Nothobranchius furzeri: one gene and its partner. The protein of the gene in region 2 interacts with the protein of the main gene of each other region in a biochemical or structural test. Links are inferred from orthologs where the notes say so. Each region holds a gene or a part of one and is shown on either strand. Other genes may lie near its edges.

Evidence for each region.
Region 1: of the proteins of dnmt1 (region 2) and setd7, one has a biochemical effect on the other in vitro, tested with the Homo sapiens proteins (2 studies listed by BioGRID and IntAct, with this or other methods). The link is inferred for Nothobranchius furzeri from reciprocal best matches to the Homo sapiens genes DNMT1 and SETD7.

Annotation. Positions count from the first base shown.
Region 1 is NC_091741.1:109,529,679-109,533,328, forward strand, and holds part of setd7 (histone-lysine N-methyltransferase SETD7), read right to left. Parts: intron 671-3,650; coding exon 541-670; intron 1-540. UniProt on the Homo sapiens protein: Histone methyltransferase that specifically monomethylates 'Lys-4' of histone H3. H3 'Lys-4' methylation represents a specific tag for epigenetic transcriptional activation.
Region 2 is NC_091745.1:3,328,649-3,332,989, forward strand, and holds the start of dnmt1 (DNA (cytosine-5)-methyltransferase 1), read right to left. Parts: upstream 2,941-4,341; 5' UTR 2,763-2,940; coding exon 2,716-2,762; intron 2,347-2,715; coding exon 2,310-2,346; intron 1,856-2,309; coding exon 1,748-1,855; intron 1,653-1,747; coding exon 1,400-1,652; intron 1,309-1,399; coding exon 1,236-1,308; intron 1,160-1,235; coding exon 1,078-1,159; intron 997-1,077; coding exon 956-996; intron 885-955; coding exon 830-884; intron 743-829; coding exon 659-742; intron 587-658; coding exon 477-586; intron 1-476. UniProt on the Homo sapiens protein: Methylates CpG residues. Preferentially methylates hemimethylated DNA. Associates with DNA replication sites in S phase maintaining the methylation pattern in the newly synthesized strand, that is essential for epigenetic inheritance.

The DNA.
Region 1 (3,650 bases), on a different chromosome or scaffold from region 2:
TTACCATCTGACTGGCTGCGCCAGTTTCTCTGTCTCCAAAAGGTGCTAACGCCGGGGTTTGTTTAACTCATTCACTGCCATTGACAACAAAAGTCGTCATTTGCATTTTTTTACTGTGTGGGCGTTGGAACGAGGCCCCGCACCGTGAGAACAAACATCCCAGCTCTAAAGCAGATCTTCGTCTGCGTACATCACATGTCACATGATCAGGAAGCAGAAAATCCATGTGTTAGGAGATTGTTTTGAGCCACTGCTGTAAAAAAAAAAGTGAGGCGCAAACCGGAAAAGCTTCTGCCGATCACTATTCAACAACGGATTATGAAAGAACGGATAACGCTCAAAACGGATTCTTCCTGATGTAAGAGGTGAGTCTACGCTTTGTTTTGGGTGTTTTGTCATCGACATCATCCTAGTACGCAATGTTCTGTGACTCTTAAAAAAGGCTTTACCGATCAGGAAATGGTTGGCAGCAAATGAGTTACGGTTGCTTGCATTATCTCGTCAAGTTCTACTTTATAAATCAAAGTCATTAAACATTACCTTCCATCAAAGAAGAAGAACTTGCCCTTTCCATTCTTCTCTCCATGAGTGAAGTGTCCTTCAAAATGATCACCGGATGAGAAGGTAACAGTGCAGAAACCATGGGGCTGACCATCTTCATCTAGTGGGCCTACACACACACACACACACACACACACACACACACACACACACACACACACACACACACACACACACACACACACACACACACACACACACACACACACACACACACACACACACACACACACACACACACACACACACACACACACACACACACACACGATTACAGTGGTTTGAATTGAAGATGTTAAACAAGGTACTGGACTACACCCAGATAGGCCCCAGGCCATCACACATCCACACTTTTACCAGTTTGAAATCTCCAATGATCATTTCATACAACGCAATCACGTTCAAGCTGCTGTTTTGTCGCAGTGCTCCTGACTGACCCAGAATCTGTTGTGTCATTTATTTTACACATCCAAGTTTTGAAAGTGTTATGGCGGTAGCAGCGAGTGCCACCAGGGGTGTGGGTGGGGTGTGGGTGGAGCCGAGCCCAATGCGTGCGCTGACAGAGCGGCTACAGAGCAGTGGCGGCTCCAGAAATGTTTTTCTGCAGGTGCTATGAAGGAGCTAGTCTTTTTATTGAGGGTGCTATGAAGGAAGTGGTCATGCGTACCTATTGTTCTCTAAAACACCTTCAACACTAGCAGATACACATGCGTGCACAAAACCCCAACAACACCTACAACAATCATTAATATACATCATAAACATGTGAACAATCGCTGACTTTTCCATGAAATCATAAACACATACAGCCACACAGAAAACCACCTATTGACCCTTTGCACCGACGTCACCTAATCACGTGGGTCCACCACGGTGGACGGCAAAAGCATGTAAACAGTGAGCGACACGATTACTAAACAAAGGGAAAAGTAGAGCCTGAAATTGTTTTTGCGATCAAAACCAAAACAAAACTCCTCCAGCATTCCTTCCACTAGTTCATGCCCAGTTCAGTTATCAGAAGAAGTAGCGCATCTAGCGGGGGCTCATAGAGAGCGGTATGCTAACTAACTTACCAGCGTTAGCTTACGTTCTCTCTGCAGCTGTTCACCGATGTAAACATGTTGCTGACTTTGCCTAAATTCACCCCTCTGGATTTATAACTTTATGTTACAAACAGCGTTTCACTTTACACCAAAGCTGATTGTTAGAAAGTCTGGATCCCTACCAGCTTCTGTTGCTGGTGGTGTTACCGGCTTCAGCTGCTGCTCTCACACCGGAATGAGAAGATCTCTTAATGCTGACGCTCATATAAATAAATAACGTAATTTTAACACACGTGATCTTACATCAGAGCTTTAATATTGTTAATAATTGTCTCGCTTTACACTACAGTGGACGGAGCGCAGCCTCCGTGGTGAAATACCCGTCCATCAGGATTATCAATAACTAGTATAAACACATCACATTTATCCCTGTCCCTGTCTTCCTTGTGAAATAAATGAACGTTAATCTTACCCGGTAAAAACATGTTCGCTGCTAATCTGAGGCCTGCTAGTCCGCTTGATTGATCACTGCAGTTCATCTCCGTCCTCAGTCTCCATCAAAGTTATTAAAAAAACAAAACGAGTTGAGTTTACATCCTTGTCTGTTAGTGCAGCCGACCACGCAGCAAGCTAAAACTGTTTTAATGTCAAATCAACTAAATAAAAGATATAAAAGGCTACAAACTGGCTTGTTTTGACTACTTTCACTGGAGTTTCTACTGGTATAAACGGTCTTTTTGCCGTCCATCATGGCGAAGGGGGCGGTCACATGAGTGGCGTGACGTCACGTGCAAAGGGTCAAAAGTAGGGCTGCACAATATATCGAAAAATTATCGTCATCGGCATAACAAGACGTGCGATAGGCCCATCGCAAGGCACGCCAAAAACGGCGATAAATGTTTGGTTCAAACATTTCCATCCGTGTCATACATTAACTTTTTGTAAACCAGCTCTGTTTTTATGCGGAAGTATTATTTGGCCAATCAAACGTAGCCCTTCTGATATGCGGCCAATCAGATGGGTCCGTTCACGAAATACGCCAGCCCCCTATGTGGACCCTTAGGATGGAAAGCAATACCCGAACATTAGCGGCGCCGTTCCCTTGTTCGTCATGCTGGCCCAGATTAACGAACACACTTTGTGCTGAGGTTTCTGGAATCAGCGCTGCTTTCAGACGTGAACGTGAGTCCGCTCGGTGTCGTTAATCATTTTTACCGGGTTGACTCCGACACGTGCCGGTGAACTAACCCACCTTAATGTTGCTAGTGTTCCACCGGGTGGTGATGTTAGCCCCAGGCTCCGGTTAGCTTCCAGCTAAAAGGCTACAGCACTCTCCTTCCAGTCCCACCCTGCTAAAGAGGGCCTGGAAAAGTTCCCCCACACATCAAAGTGATTTTTCATTTATGAGCTTTTATAACCTTGTTAATCAGGATAGTTGATTTGCTGCTGCACATAAACTGTCAGTCAGAAGCTCTGCTAGCCGGTTATCTTAAGAGGAGCTAGTTCAATTTGTTAGCTTGTTATCAGAATCATAGCTGCAGTTTCATCATCTGAGCTGCTTTTTAAGATCTTGGTAAACTTGTTCAATTTGGGGTTAAAAACAAACGTTTTCACATATTTTCCATGTAGTTTTTTGCCAGTTCCTCTTCTGAATGGTAGACAATTGTTTTTCTCTTTCCCTCAGAAAATCTTAATATTCTCCTAGTTTGGCCCAGCACAGTTCACTTCCCAATTACAGCAACAGCCTTATATCATAACCACATAAGTGGAGAAAATGTTCAGTAGCAATGAGAGAATCTGCTGTTGCATTTAAGTGATGTTAACTATTATTTAACATCGTCTCTCGTCTCGTCTTCCTCCGCTTATCCGGGTCCGGGTCGCGGGGGCAGCATCCCAACTAGGGAGCTCCAGGCCGTCCTCTCCCCGGCCTTGTCCACCAGTTCCTCCGGCAGGACCCCAAGGCGTTCCCGGACCAGATTGGAGATGTAACCTCTCCAACGTGTCCTGGGTCGACCCGGGGGCCTTCTGCCGGCAGGACATGCCCGA
Region 2 (4,341 bases):
GAGATCAGCCGTGTTTGGATCAACAAAGTGTGACTACTTTGATAATAGAAACTGTATTTATGGCTTACTTTTGTGCATTTAAACTTCAGCCGCCACTGATAGTTGTTAAAAGTTGTTAAACCTGTGCATTTGAAACAAGAAACGCTTTTTGTTTATCGATTTATTGTGAAAAACGGAAAGTGTGCTTGCTCCTTTTCCTGTTGGACGATTGTGATTTCTGTCCATTTACTGCGGAGGTGCTCCGGCGTCCGGCGAAAATAGGATCGATTCTATTTTTGCCGGACGCCAGAACAGAGGGCGGCGCACGGCGCCGCACTGCAGGAGCACAGCCGCAGTAGTGGAATTGCTCTGATTGACTACAACGGGACCGATTTTGCTGCGGCGTTCGTGTCGGAGCGGAGGTAGTGGAATTTGGGGGTAACGGTGGCACCAGAAGCAACAAGAAGAGCCACCTGAATCCCCACAGAGAAGCTCACCTGAAACTTGTGATCTTGTGCTGCGGCAGATCATCGTAGCTTTCAAACCCATCCTCGTTTGCGTCAAACAGGGACAAACGCTCATCCGTCAACATTTCAGGCTCTTCCAGCTGAAGATACAGAAAAAACCGGTCAAGACGACGACTTCTCAGTGCTTAAATTACTAAGAAAGCAAGACTGACCGCATTATCAGGATCTCCTTGGAAGAATTTCAGATCGGAGTCATCCAGGTATTGTCTGCAGTCTGGACATTTGGGGGGCGGAGTCTAAAAAAAAACAACCGGGCTTTGTATCAAAGCCTATTGACGGATCACCTTTGTCTGCGTAAACGTTTGAATGAACCACTTCACTACCTTAGCTGCTGACGCAGACCTGTTAACTTCAGGCTTTGGTTCCTCAGCAGCAGGTCTGCGTAAAAAAGGAAGAGTTGTAAAACGTAGATCCACTTCAGGACCATCGAAACTCAAGAGATGACCTACTTTTCATCCGACTCCACTTTCAGGCGTTTCTCCTCCCGAGACTGCAACAGGCGATCAAATGTAAAACGTTATCTCCGGGACTAAACCTACACCGATATTAGCACACGAGGAGGAAATGTCACCTCATCAACGGCCTCTTCTTTTTTAGGTTCACTTGTTTCATTGACAGGTTCTCCGTTCACCTCATCAGACTTGCGCTTTTGGCTGCAAAACAGAGCTGGTCTTAATTTTATTCCTGCTTATTTGTTAAAACTGCAAACAGCATAAAACTCATACGTACACTTTAGAAAACATGGACAAGATGGTTGGCTGCTTCACACTGTTCCTCGTGACTCTGCTGCTGGCTGGTGATTCTACAAATGCAAAAGGACTCGCCATGAGCTACAGATGCTGCGCCTTTAAAAACGAGACTCGGGATGAACACTAAACGAGTCGCAGACTGACTTTTTGTGTCTGCGCTCCCCTTGCTCCTGCGGCCCCCCTTCCCTTTGGAGGTGGTTGGTGACTTGACAGATGATGACGTGTCTTCTTCCTGGGTATCCATGGAAACATCACCATCTCCATCCTCTTCGTCTTTATGGGAGCCATTAGAGAGGCCATTTCTCTTTTCGTTACGCTCCACGCCATCAACATGTGAGCCATTCTCAAGATGAAGTTCTTTGCCCAGCAAGGCTTTCACCTTTGAGATGTAAACCTCCTGAGGAAAGTACAACAGATACACAACATGTCATAAATGGATTTATTGGAAATAACATGAACATTAATAATCTGTGTCTTTTGGAAGTTACCCACCTTTGAGATCTCTGATTTTTTTATTTTTTCTTCAAGACTGGTCAGTTGGTCCTGAGCATCATCATGCAGAAAGTCCTGCACCAACTTGATCTTCTTCTTCACTTGTTCCTGAAACGAATATTTCCAACATAAAACTTACAGCCAATGTATTTAACTATAAAATTATAAGTTACAATTTTTTGAAACTATCTGCATTCATGACATTAAAAATTAACCATTTAGGACATGTCGGTGAATTAAAATGTGAGACAGTAACTTTCTTAATCTTCTTTGTCAATGGCAAAATTTCCTAGGGATTCGTTTTTGTCATATTTGAAATGAGAATTTTATGCGTGCCAAATGACATTTTGGGGAGTGATGAACATTTTTGGAAGCTCTGCTATTTATATTTGCTATCAAACACATTTCATATCTCACAACTAAAATAAAACCAACGAGAGATGCATTCTTTAAGAGCCACTATATAAAGTGTAGTTATTGATCTTTACACATACAAAGCAACTTTCATTTCCCGTAATTATTGATCGGGTTTTCTAGTAGTGAGGGTGCACACTTCACTCGCCTCTTCTGAGCATCCATCCTCATCCAGCAGCTCCAACCTACAAACACATCAAAACAACAGCGGCTTACGGAGAGTCACGTTGTCTGGAAACTGTAGCAGAACGTTCAGCACAGCAACCAGAGTTAGGAAACAAAACTTCCTACGTGGCGCCAAAAACTCCCTCGCTGCTCATCCATTTCCAGGCTAATGATGCTAGTAGCAGGTTACTGACGATGGACTATTAACCAGACTGATAAGAGGCAGCAAGCTAACGCTAGCTGAAGCGGCTAATGCAAACAAAGTTGTGGGGATGCTCACTACGAGCATGAGAAACAACGAGTAGCATTTAAGACATACGCTCTGAACGCCGTTGTTGTGACTTACTAACTGGCTGCATTATGACTGTATTAGCACCGAGGTTACCAACCTTTTCCTGACATCGTCTGGCAGAGACAGGGACGTTCTGGATGGCATGTTGACCAGCTAACTAAAAGCAGAAGCAGATGACACGGGCAATAAAAACTGATATAAAACAACGCGTTAGGCCGCCGTCAATCGCCGCAGCAATACTCAGAGATGACTACCAGTCGAGTGGCGCTTCTTCAAGCGGATGCTACAAGCAGTTCGAGCGCGCGCAGGCCGTCTTTTCGCGCGGAAACCCGGGTGTTGTGGACTGTACCACTACGGCAGTCTATAGGTAAAGCAGTTTCCGTTCTGCGTTTGTAATTTCTTCTTTGCATTCATGGTTTTACACAAAAACACATTTTATAACAATAAAACGATTTTTAAGCATGTTTAGGGCATTAGTTTGATATTATTCAAAATGTTTACGTTTTTTGGTTCTTGATAAATCAACCGGATCTTCCCCTATTGTTTCACACATGTTAGAGTCCATTGACCAGGCGGAAGTGTTTAATAATGAGCAAAAACAGCAAGACATATTATTGCCGCTGAGTTTAAGCTGCAGGAGGCATGACACCGTTTTGATGTAACTAGCTGTATCCGACATCTGTTTGAAACCAATAAGCCTCTAACTGTAATTTATATATTAGATTGTTACTAGGATAGCTGTCAAACATGTATGTGTCCAGGGCGTGTCATGTGATATCATAGGATGTCAAAGAAGATGGCTCCTTTCTCGCCTCTGATTAGCAAGAAGGGCTCTACTACGATTGGCTATTTCCATCGACATATAAATATTGGACATTGGGTTTCCATATGCTCCAATAACACGTTTTTGAAGATAAATGGGAGGTGGCCACCACCACCATTTTGACTGTGTCACAGGTTCCGTCAAGCCCAGACAATTCCACAAAAGGGAAGAGAGGTGGCGCTGAGGGTGGGGCTGTAAGGCTGGGATCTACTGACGACACCCGGTCTAACTAGCTACAAGTTAACCCAAAGCTAACGCGGAGGTGGGAGCTAAGCTAACAGAGGTAGCAACCTAGCTACAACCGGAGTTAACTGTGCACAACACCAGAGCTTCTGAGTCAGAGATACGCCGGGCTGACCGCTGGGTAAAACCGGGTGGAACACAGAGGTCTCCCGAGAGCTCCACAAGCCGGCAGCCGCACAGCAGACAAGCGCTGCTGCGATCTGAGATGCACAGAGCTGCCACTGGGGAGAACCGGGTGGAAAGGTTTCCATCCCAGAGCTCCACAAGCCGGCAGCCCGCATAGCAGTCAGGAGCCGCGATCAGACAGAGATGCGCCGAGCTGCGGGGAGGGGAGAACCGGGTGGAAAACAGGTCTCCCGAGAGCTCCACAAGCCGATAGTCGGAACCCAGCTCCACCAACATGTTATATTTCAACCCATTTTCTAAAGTCCAGCATTATGTTAAATGCACTGGGGTTTACCCTATTACATTTAAATTTCATGGTTAAACAGTACATGTTAAAATCTAAGCTCAGCTCGGCAGTGACCTAAAATACATGAATATAATTTTACTTACCGAAAAAAATGAAGTGGAGACTCCTTGGATGCTCTATTAGTGCAATTAATGCCACAGCAAGTCATTTTGTCCAACAATTGCACAAAAAATATCCGAAAAAAA